3 linked regions of the Caenorhabditis elegans genome follow. The protein of the gene in region 2 purifies or fractionates together with the protein of the main gene of each other region. This does not show direct contact. Each region holds a gene or a part of one and is shown on either strand. Other genes may lie near its edges. The genes, in order: che-2, osm-6 and dyf-11.

Region 1 (3,757 bases), on a different chromosome or scaffold from region 2:
TAATAATATTTGCAATGGCAAAAGATAGTGTGAACTAGGCCCAATAATGTTTTGTAAGCCAGTTCTCAATGTTTTCTGTTAGAAGTGTCACACATGAATGAGTCTCGCCACGAAAACTGTAAAATGGTGCATTCGAATTTTTCAGAAATTCTGAAAACTCAACACTTACGGATTTTTCCAAAATTACAGAAATTCAAATATTACGAATTTTTCAAAAACTCCGAGAATTCATAATTTTCAAAAAAAAAACATTACTTAATTTTTTGAATGATTTTCTCTTTTTTTTTGGAAATTTTCTCAAGTTTTCGTGACGTTTTATTTCAAAATTTGCTCGTTTGGGTCTATTCGTTTAAAATTTCCAGATCCGTTACTCCTCCTATAAAAAGTAATGTGGGCCTGTCCAAACGTTTAAATTTTTTACAAACACCCATTGTGTGTTTAGGTTTTTCCTGTGTACCACTACAAATAAAGCACAAACTTTCAGTTATAATAATGGTCACCCGCAAGTTCATTCAAACTCGTGTTCAAGAAATCTTCAACAACCGAAACAAGTGTCGAGTACTCCATATGTACCGAAATGCCATTCAATGCTTCAACCTTTTTTTCTGCAGAGATTTTTTTGCGATTCTGCGCTACCAGGAAGACTTTTTCAAGTTTGAAAGACTCGAAAGCTTTCTCAGCTACGTCTATGATCCTTATGTCGATTCTTTGAGAGACGTCTCATCAAAAGCGTTTTTGGTGTAGGAGAATAGAATTTTCAATGGTTTCATGAAATTCGGTTTTTGAACATTTTCTTTATTTATGTAGTTAATTATTATTTCTTGTATCTAATTTTTTTGATGTTTTATTAAATCCACTTTAACAAATTTAGAAAACATTATTTTCGTGGTATAATCGGAAGTTTTTATTTTGATTCAAACTTGACACCCAGTCCAAATATTTAGACAAAAAACTTTCAAATGTCCTAAATTTTATCAAACAGCTAGAACACGCATTTTTTTCACCAACAAGCATTATTTATGTCCAGATCAGGGGTGGGCGTCAATTTCCGTTTGGCAATTTTTTTGCGGCAAATCACCAAATTGCCGGTTTGCTGATTTGCCGGATGTTTTTAATTCCGGCAACTTGCCAGTTTGCCGACTTGCCGTGAAATTTCATTTTCGGCAACATGCCGATTTGCCAATTTGGCGGAAATTTTTATTTTCGGCAGACTGCTGATTTGCCGGAAATGTCTAGGGGGATTTTTTTATAAGACACTGTGCCTTTCTGTGAATTTTTTAACGTCTTTTCTCAATTTTTCATAAATTTTTTTACTTTTCAAAATAGATGTGGAAACATTTATAGGATGCCTACAATGTTGTCGATTAAAATTGAAATTCCGAAATTCCAAAAAAAAAAAAGTGCAAAACCGCAATTTGCCGGAAATTTCAATTCTCGAAGTTTGACGATTTGCTGATTTACCGGAAAAATTGTTTGCCGCCCACCCTTGGTCCAGATGAAAAGTGCAATTTCTAATTGACTCTGTCAACATTGTACAGAATAAACAGATTATTTCAAAGATTGCATTCACATTTAGGTATACATTTTTAACTGCATCTAGCTCTCAACCTTCAGAAATAAACAGGATTTGCTCCCCAATAATGATCCGATGATCAATAGGCATTACGAGCAGTAGCTCGAACAATGTACACCAAGTTATTTTTCAAGTACTACAGAATTTCGGGTCTTAAGCGGAACCGAGTAATCGTAGAAATCTCCCGAACAGTGGCGTATGCCTAGTACCGTCAAATGTAATTTAGATAAAAAGCAACAAAAAAATTCTCAGTTTTGTCTTCCATGTCTGTTTCAATTTTTTCTTTATTGAAATTTTATTTAAACAGACAAAAATTTGAATCTCCCTCATCTCACCAGATTCTTTGTTGATGTACACCTGCGGTGGTACTCTACTATTAGTTCCTTCTCCTCCCGTCTTGCCGCAGCTCTCTGAATTGCTGCCAGCTGGTTGTCATGGTGACTGCTCGCGCATGGCTCAGCTAGTGTTTGCAATACGTTTTTGGTTTTTCGTTAATGAACCCTCAGAGATTTGGGCTAATCAATTATTTTCTACAATTCAGGCTTTCAACTTTGCAGAATGAAATTAAAACTATCGGCGTCTCGGAAAACACGCCACACAGAAATGGTTTGTGGGGTGGGATGGATAGGCACCGAGGCCATATTGTCGGCAGCCGATGATCATGTTTTTCTGCTAACAAATACCGCCACAAATGAATCTCAACAAATTTTGAATATGCCGGAGTGAGTTTTTTTTTCATCATTGCGAGGCGAAATGCGACTACTCTAAATTAAAGGTGGGGTACCGAAATCTAGGAAATATTTTTAATTGATTCCAAATTTGCCCCTGGTTCACAATATTTAACTAGGGACTCTTTTTTGGTGACAAAAGAGTTATGGGACGAATTATATATTTTCTGAAAGCTAATACAATGCTCATATCGAATTCAAAATAAAACCTTGCCCAAATTGATGCTAAGACAAATGTTGTCCTCCGAATGCGTATTTAGGTTAAAATGTCATTGTTTTTGAAGCTTCATATCTCGATGGACTTCAAAGGTACAAAAAAATCAATTGACAAAATGTTAAGAATAACACAAAAATTCCATTTGATATGTTGCGTACTCCTGTAGTTATAAGCATTTAAAATATTAAAATTTAGCTTAAAATTTCATCGTCTCATATTTCGAAAGGAAATGGAAAAATTAAGTGTTCATATTAATAAACAAGGAAAAAATATATGGAGAAAATCATATAAGGCAAACGCGCTCAGAGGATTATTTATTTCTGTGCCTATTTGAAAAAGAAACCGGGGCACACATGAAATGTGTGATTTAAAGCTCAAATATAAAATCAGGGATTTTTTTTTGAATTTTTCACATTGATATTTGGAACCATAGGCAAATTTGGAGTCATTTAAAAATATTTCCCAGATTTCCGTACCCCACCTTTAAGTATGTACATACATATGTATATATTTTAATTTTTATAACAAAAAATCTAATTTACTTTTAATTACAATAAAATGATTACGATTTCATATCAACTGACTAAATTTGACCGATTTTCTCAGCTGCAATTAATTAGCTCAATGCAATAGAATGTTGCAGCTTTTGTGGTCTGACAATTAGAACTGCAGCAAAAACAAAAACTTCAATCAAAGAATTTTAAAAAATCAGAATTTTATATTCCAGAACTTTCTTCCCCACGAGTCTTCATATTTTTCCACGTTCCCAAACTAAAGGTGGTCAAAATGATGTGTTTGCAGTTTCAACTTCTGATGGTAAGTTTTTCTTTTGTATTTTTTTTTCATTCTTAACGAAAATGTATACGTATGGGTTTTGTTTCAAACCCATAAACACCGAAAATGAATTTCAGGAAAGATAAACATACTTTCGCGAAACGGAAAAGTTGAAAACATGGTAGATGCTCACAACGGAGCAGCTCTCTGTGCTCGATGGAATTCTGATGGGACTGGATTGTTGTCAAGTGGGTTCAATACTAAAATTTCAAAAAAGTATATAAAGAAAGTCAGTTGCAGGCGGAGAAGATGGGTTTGTGAAAATGTGGTCGCGGAGTGGAATGCTGCGTTCAGTGCTGGCTCAATTTGCAACAGCCGTTTACTGTGTGGCATGGGACTCTACGTCTTCCAATGTTTTGTACTGTAACGCTGACCATTGTTATATCAAATCGTTGAAAATGCAAG
Region 2 (3,757 bases):
AAGATGAGTAGACGTTATAAATAAATGGGTCGGCTGAAATAAGGGATTAAATAATATTTATCATTTTGTACGCATCCTAGTGCAGTTTATGAAACAAAATATTTCAGTAACTCACCTGAAACTGCGGATACAGCTAGAATAACTGCAGCTGCATAGAACATCACCATTCCTGCGTAGAAGCGCGAAATGATACAAATCAGCCGTTGACATGATAAACAAGTGATTGAAATAAGGCGATTTGGGTCAAGAGATGCATCCGTTCTTCACTCCTCTTCACTCTCTCACTTCTCATCCCTTCAAAATCTAGGCTTTTCCTCCAAATCTTTTGTTCGCTTTAAAAATGTTTTTCTTTCAGTCGCAAATGGAAATGAAGACAACCCGGCTGGCGCATACCTGTTCCTTCCCGATGGAGAAGCTAGAGAACTCAAAAAACAATCAAGTGATTGGATATTGGTAAAAGGAGAAGTTGTTCAAAAAGTGTTTGCAACTCCAAACAATGATCTGAAAATATTGCAAACGTACACACTTTATCAAGGGCTTCCATGGATTGATTTGGATAATGAAGTTGATGTACGTTCCAAGGAGAATTTCGAGTTGGCACTGAGATTCAGTTCTTCAGTAAATAGTGGTGATGAGTTTTTCACTGATCTCAATGGAATGCAAATGATAAAAAGGAGACGACAAACTAAATTACCAACACAGGCCAATTTCTATCCCATGTCTGCTGGTGTTTACATTGAAGACGATACTACCAGAATGTCAATTCATTCGGCACAGGCTCTCGGAGTTAGCAGTCTCTCGTCGGGACAAATTGAAATAATGCTTGATCGACGACTTAGTTCAGATGACAACAGAGGTCTTCAGCAAGGAGTTAGAGACAACAAACGAACAGTTGCACATTTCCGTATTGTTATTGAGCCGATGTCTTCATCGAGTGGTAATAAGAAGGAAGAACGAGTTGGATTCCATTCACATGTTGGTCATCTCGCTACGTGGTCTCTTCATTATCCTCTTGTCAAAATGATTGGAGATGCAACACCAAAATCTATTTCTTCGAAAAATGTGGAACAAGAGCTGAACTGTGACCTGCATCTAGTGACATTTAGGTGTTAAAAAATCTGAAATCTACAGTAACCCTCATCTTTAATCATTTTCAGAACACTGGCATCGCCGACAACTTACGAAGCCAACGAAAGATCTACGGCAGCTGAGAAGAAAGCAGCGATGGTGATGCATAGAGTTGTTCCAGACTGTAGATCCAGGCTTACCCTCCCAGACACGTCATGCTTAGCTACTGGATTAGAAATTGAGCCACTCAAATTGATCTCGACACTGAAGTCTGCGAAAAAAACGTCACTAACCAATCTTTATGAAGGAAACAAGGCTGAACAATTCCGACTCCAACCAAACGATATTTCCAGTATTCTTGTATCATTTTAATTTTATAATTGCTTATATGTAGTAGTTATATTTTCAGTTTTCATTACATTTCATGGGTATTTATTTATTAACTATAATCTTGTATAAGACGATGTAATTATGAAACAACGATTTCACACTTCCGGTTTTCATGTAAAATTTTTTTCGTTCCAAATAAATTGTTATAAAATTAATTACATCTTTCATCAAACTTCAAAAATGAAATTGCATTTTTAATAATTAGGAGTCTATTACGGAATTCATTAAATTTCAGAAAACAAAGTTAACTATATATTTCTCTAGTAGTTCCTTTCCCAGGAGACCCTTCCAAGATTTGTATCCACATGTTACCATAGTAACCACTCATTGCTTCTCGCTCACATTGTCTGCTCCCTCTCTTGGGGCTTATATCTCTTTCAAGCTATTACCTTCATTAGTATACATCTATGCCTCCATTTTCAGACGAAAAGATGACTGTAAGTATTAGATTTTAGTTTTCGCATTTTATTATTTCCATTTTCCAGAACCGGAGTATTGGGAGAAAAGTTCTGATTGATCAATCAAAACAGCAACAAATTAGTTTGATTAGTGGTTTTCGTGGTGTGGCAAGACATTTAAAAAGTGTTCTTACTGTTGAAATGTGAGCTTTTTTGGAATATTTAACATTTTATACATTAAATACATAGTTGAAAGATTTACGATTTATGATGAAAGAATACGATACCCGGTCTCGAAACGAATTAAAATCGGATCCTGCGAAGAAGCAGGTTTCTTGTATTTTTGTTTCTCATTTTCTTATTTTGAATTCTTTGGAATAAATATTCAAATTATACTGAACAAATTAAGCTGCTATTTAAAAAATAAAAAATAAAACGAAAAAAACAAAATATTGGAAACTACAGTACTCCTCGAAGTCGAGCAATCCTTTGCGCGGAATTGTTTTGCTCGCGTCGAGACCTGCTACCGTAATTTTTGCCAAATTTGAATTTCTCTCGCAGATAGATAATAATTTTTAAATTCAGAAACACAGAACCAATTAACTTAAATGGATTAGAAGATGTTCGGATGCTTATCATTCCACAACCAAAGACATCATTTGGAACTGGAGAGGTTTAGGATTTTAAATTTTATTAAATTTCATTTGATTGTCTCAGCCTAATTTTAACACCCAAAAAATTAAAATTTAAGATTGAAGCAATATGGAAGTTTGTGGAAGAAGGTGGTTCATTGATGATCCTTTCTGGTGAAGGTGGTGAGAGACAATCATTAAATGAAATGATTGCAAAATATGGAATTACTGTGAATAAGGGTATGTCTTTATCAAATTAAATGAATTACAAAAATCATCAACATTCAAGATTCGGTAATTCGTACTGTATTCCTGAAATATTTTGATCCGAAAGAAGCTTTAGTAGCAAATGGAGTCATAAATCGAGCAATTGCAGTGGCTGCAAAAAAGAATGTGAGCACTGAGCAAAAACATAATTCACAGTGAGTTGAACTATTAGCTTTTTATTTATTTAGGACAAAATTCGGTTTCCGATTTTCCAAAAATAAAAAAGTGATTTCAATATTTCAGAGCACTTTCATTCATTTATCCATATGGATGTACTCTAGATGTGAATAATCGTATGTCGAATGTAGTATTGTCTTCTGGAAGTACAAGTTTTCCAACAAGTCGCCCAGTTGCCGCTTTTCATGAGACAAAACTCAATGAAATGGTATTAGAATATTCTGAAATTGGTACATTAATTCATATTATTTTCAGAAAAAGAAAGGTAGAGTGTGTGTGGTTGGATCAGTCTCGATGTTTCATGACACATACATCGATAAGGAAGAAAATGGAAAGATTTTTGTAAGTGTATTTTTGATATGGTTCGAAATAAACTTCCCCGGTTGGTTGAGGCGTGCAGGATGCGCCTCCCACCCGCCTCTTAACTCGCCTTATTGGAAAATTTCAATTTCAGGATACATTTGTGGAATTCCTGGTCAATGGTCTTGAACTGAACACGATAGATGCTGCAGAGCCGGAAATTAATGATTACACAAATATTCCAGATCATATTCATATGTCCCAGCAGATCAAGGTTTGACTTCAAAAAATTATACTTTCTAGACAAACTAACAAACAGGTTTGTATGTACGAAGGAGAATTGGATCAGGCAATCAGTTCGGATTTCATGAAGATTATGGATACTTCGTTGCATTCTTTTAATTTGAAACATTGGCCAATGACTATAAGGTACTGTGCCCTAAATACTTTCCCCTGACTACAGAAATATGTTTGTTATTACTAAGAAAAAGATTCAAGAATCATGCTTTCGAAAATGGAAACACG
Region 3 (3,757 bases), on a different chromosome or scaffold from region 2:
ATATGTAATTTCAAATATGAAGTCTCTTCAACGAAGAAAATATCAAACAATTTATTTCAGGTGCTGAAGCTGGGAAATATAATATAAGAAAAACGGGAAACCCCCGTTCACATTGACAATTATGGCTGAATGTACATACCCGAATTTGAGTTAGTTTCGCGCGCGAATGATGTTTTGCGGAAATTCAATCTTATTGTTTTTTGTACATATATATGCTTATTGTGATTGATTTCTTTATATTTTGTTGATAGTTTTCTATATACAGAAAGTTTTCAAATATTTTTCAAAAATGAACCTCTTTCTAAAAAATAATGGACCTTCTGGAAATTTTTCTAAAAATTCATGGCGATTCAAATTTCATTTTTTAATTGAATTTTCATTACTGAAAACGGACTTTTCTCGGTTTTTTTCTTCAATTTTTGAAACGTGCTGAAATGTACTATTCAATAAAATCCAATAATCCTGAAAAGTAGACCACAACGTAGCACACACGAGTAATTAGCGTGTTCCCTTTTTTTGTTGGTCTCTGAAATCGTGGCAATACGTGGATTCAAAAATTCATAAAATATGACGTCACAAATTTTTACATAGTGCAATTTTCATTTAAAAAATCATCGTGGCGTCAAAGCATTAAAGCCATGTGGCGCCCTAATTTCCAGAGGTCAACCTAAGATGGGACAATCTAAATACCCATAACCACAAGAAAGTAGAAAAAAAAATGGATTGTATTATTATGTTTGTCCATATAAAAAGATAAATAAAAATTAGAATTATTGACCAAATTAGTTTGTTTTTTTTTAAATAAGTAGTCTAGTATACTTGTAACTATATATTTTTCTAACGCCTACTACAAATGACGTCATATTCAATTTCAGCTGCCTTAAACAAATGACATTTTTTACGTTTCGTTCATATAGCCTATTTCACGTTTTTGCCTACTATTCTAGATTTTGGAACTTATGTTTTTTTTTAAACGAAAGTTATAAGTACCTCAATATTAAACAGGAAATTATAAATTTAAACATATCTCTACAATAAATGTTAGCATTCGGCTTATAAACAATTTGTTTATGTTTTTATCAAATAAAAACAGTGTATATTTAAATAAAGGATTATTTCTATTTGATTTCCACAATCGCGGGAAACCTCTGAACATTAAATCATAATTTTTGATCTACATGAGAAGCTTCTACTTTGTTTTTATAGAGCTAAGAACGAGTCAATGAAAAAATTATATTGTTAGATGAAGATTGTTTTCCTAAAAGTTTCGATGTGATTTTCATAATATATGTAAATCTGCTAAAAACAAAATTTTCCACGATTTCTTGTACTGGTCGCAATTTGACCACCATTTATAACATTCCAGTCTACTTTCTTCTTTGTTTTCACCCATTTTTCTGACGTATTATATAATCAGAAAAAAATACAATATATTGTGCGAAAATTAAAGAATTGTAATCAGTCACAAAATACCTCAACTAAGACACATTATTCTGCTGCTCTCATCGTCTCACGCACTCTTTGCGCGTAAGGTGGTCTCCATGACAACGTGCCCCCTGCCTCAACAACTCGCCACACAGCGCCACCTGATATTAGCGTGCTCTCTCTCTCTTGCGTGTATTACCGCTGTTTCATTCCTCTTTTTTGTCAGCATTTTTCACCTTAATATTGTTTTTCATGTATTTCATGTTTTTCGCAACTTGTAATGAGATTTTTGCAGTAAAAGTGCGATGAGCGTTGAGGAAACTCGGGAAATTCTTGAGAAAGTAATTCAAAAACCACAACTAACTGATCAACTGCTTTCACGACCACCATTCAAATTTATTGTTGATATAGTTAGCAATGTGATAAAGTCTACGGGGTATTTGAAGGTGGGTATTTGAAAATTTTATTCATAATAAAAAATTATGCGCGAAAATGTAGATTTTAAGAAATGTAATGTGGTATGAGAAAAAAAGAGAAAAAACCAGTGCCCAACTTTAGTTTTAAAGTTTTCGTTTGTCAGTGATGCGAAGTTTTTGGTCAGTGCTGTGCCAAGTTACTCAGTGCTGTGCCAACTTGGTCAGCGCATAAATTTTCGCTAAATTTTCATTTTAACAGACTGACTTCACCGACGATGAAATAAAGTCCGCTGGCAACGACAAAAACACCAAAACTGCCTTTCTTGACAAGCTGATCAAGATTCTAGATGACGGAAGTCTCAAAAACGTCAAAGCCGCCAAAATAATATCGGGGAAGGACGCGGAAGAAACCAACAAAGTGAGTTTACATTCTATTAACAAGAAATATCTGTAATGAAAAAAGAAGGCGCAGAATTTTAAACAGAATTTACAATTCGATGTGAAGTCGCTTCAATCAAATTTTAAAAAATCTGGTCAATCAGAAATTTTTTTTTAACTTAAAAAAAAAATTCGATTTCTTCCGTAAATTATATCAAACTAAATTAGTGCCCTAATCATTTTTTCTATTTAAATTTTCTGATTTTTTGTGATAAAAATATGCTTAATAGTAAGATAAAGTATTTAAGCCGTTTTCAACTTGGTCAGTGCATTACCAGATTGGTCAGTGCTACACCAAGTTAGCCATTGCTTTCGCTCGTCTCAGTTCTTAGTGCTTTTTTTACCTTTTACATTTATTCAGATGCTGCAAATGTTGGGAACAAATGCTACGAGTTTCAATTCAAGGAATGGTACCGGAGAGGAGAAAAAGAAGAAAAAAGTAAAGAAAGAGGACAAAAAGGGAGATGAAGAAGAGAAGTCAACTACTAAAAAACGTAGCAGTAAGAAGGTAGAGTGCACTTTTAAATATTTGTTTCCCCATAAACTCAGTTTTATCATTTTAAGGAAACGCATGAAGAGAAGGAAAAATCGGAGAAGAAAAAATCTGCAGAAGAGAAAGAGAAGAAGAAAAAGTCTTCGAGTTCAAAAGAACGGCATAAGTCTAGTGACAGGTCTAGCGAAAAGTCAAGCGAAAAGTCCAGCAAGGAGAAAAAGAAGGAAAAGAGCACAACAGACGAAAAACCCAAAAAGAGCAAAAAAGACCCGAGTGAACGGCATTTTAAACGACAAGACTCAATGATTGCTGTGAATGGAGATGCACCGGATACTCCGAACAATGAGAATGGAGATGAGGGTTATGACGATCATGAGATTTCTGAACCAACTGTTATATCAAATATGGAAACTGATTTGTCAGCTCAATCACTACTGATCCAACAGCCAGTGACGTCACCCTTGAAAACTGATGATAGTGGGATGGGTGAGAGCCCGAGAATGATCAAGCCCGAAGATAGACCCCCGTTGATAAGGTAACCTCTTACGGATTGGGTTTATCTTCAGTTCATTTTAAAAAATGTAGTGCACACTTAAATAATTTTCTGAAATTGAATTATCCGGCAAATTTTTGGCTTCAACATTGTTGGTTTACTCCTTCTTTGACCAACATTTTTTCAAATTCTAGAATAAGTTGTCAAAGTGAAATTTACACTGAGATTGAGATGATGATACACACAGTTTAATCAGCTTTTGACATAGAAAATTCCAGACCAATGACTGGTGCTGGAGGTGGTAGACCTATGACATCAATGGGAAGACCCGGAACCGCGGCTTCAAGGCCAGCGCCTCCAAAACTGAAAAAGAAACAAATTGCGACTGTTGACTCAACGCCACAAGTGGTAATAACATTGTTAATCAGTTTATTAATTCAATTTTGATACCACTTTAGGTAGTCGAACTCAAATCGGAAATCATCAGCGATG

What was found.
Region 1: the proteins of osm-6 (region 2) and che-2 purify together in Caenorhabditis elegans (affinity purification with mass spectrometry, with the first as the bait; one study listed by BioGRID). This does not show direct contact.
Region 3: the proteins of osm-6 (region 2) and dyf-11 purify together in Caenorhabditis elegans (affinity purification with mass spectrometry, with the first as the bait; one study listed by BioGRID). This does not show direct contact.

Annotation. Positions count from the first base shown.
Region 1 is NC_003284.9:479,320-483,076, forward strand, and holds the start of che-2 (WD_REPEATS_REGION domain-containing protein), read left to right. Parts: upstream 1-2,130; 5' UTR 2,131-2,131; coding exon 2,132-2,295; intron 2,296-3,245; coding exon 3,246-3,334; intron 3,335-3,429; coding exon 3,430-3,540; intron 3,541-3,592; coding exon 3,593-3,757.
Region 2 is NC_003283.11:11,925,515-11,929,271, reverse strand, and holds the start of osm-6 (Intraflagellar transport protein 52 C-terminal domain-containing protein), read left to right. Parts: upstream 1-1,825; 5' UTR 1,826-1,865; coding exon 1,866-1,895; intron 1,896-1,943; coding exon 1,944-2,059; intron 2,060-2,441; coding exon 2,442-2,529; intron 2,530-2,607; coding exon 2,608-2,728; intron 2,729-2,777; coding exon 2,778-2,910; intron 2,911-2,998; coding exon 2,999-3,140; intron 3,141-3,187; coding exon 3,188-3,274; intron 3,275-3,386; coding exon 3,387-3,506; intron 3,507-3,551; coding exon 3,552-3,661; intron 3,662-3,757. Other genes in the region: F58H1.2 (uncharacterized protein), read right to left, coding at 1-33, 116-167; aman-2 (Alpha-mannosidase), read left to right, coding at 356-1,106, 1,158-1,440.
Region 3 is NC_003284.9:762,039-765,795, forward strand, and holds the start of dyf-11 (TRAF3-interacting protein 1), read left to right. Parts: upstream 1-1,713; 5' UTR 1,714-1,730; coding exon 1,731-1,871; intron 1,872-2,100; coding exon 2,101-2,259; intron 2,260-2,640; coding exon 2,641-2,787; intron 2,788-2,843; coding exon 2,844-3,307; intron 3,308-3,543; coding exon 3,544-3,673; intron 3,674-3,723; coding exon 3,724-3,757.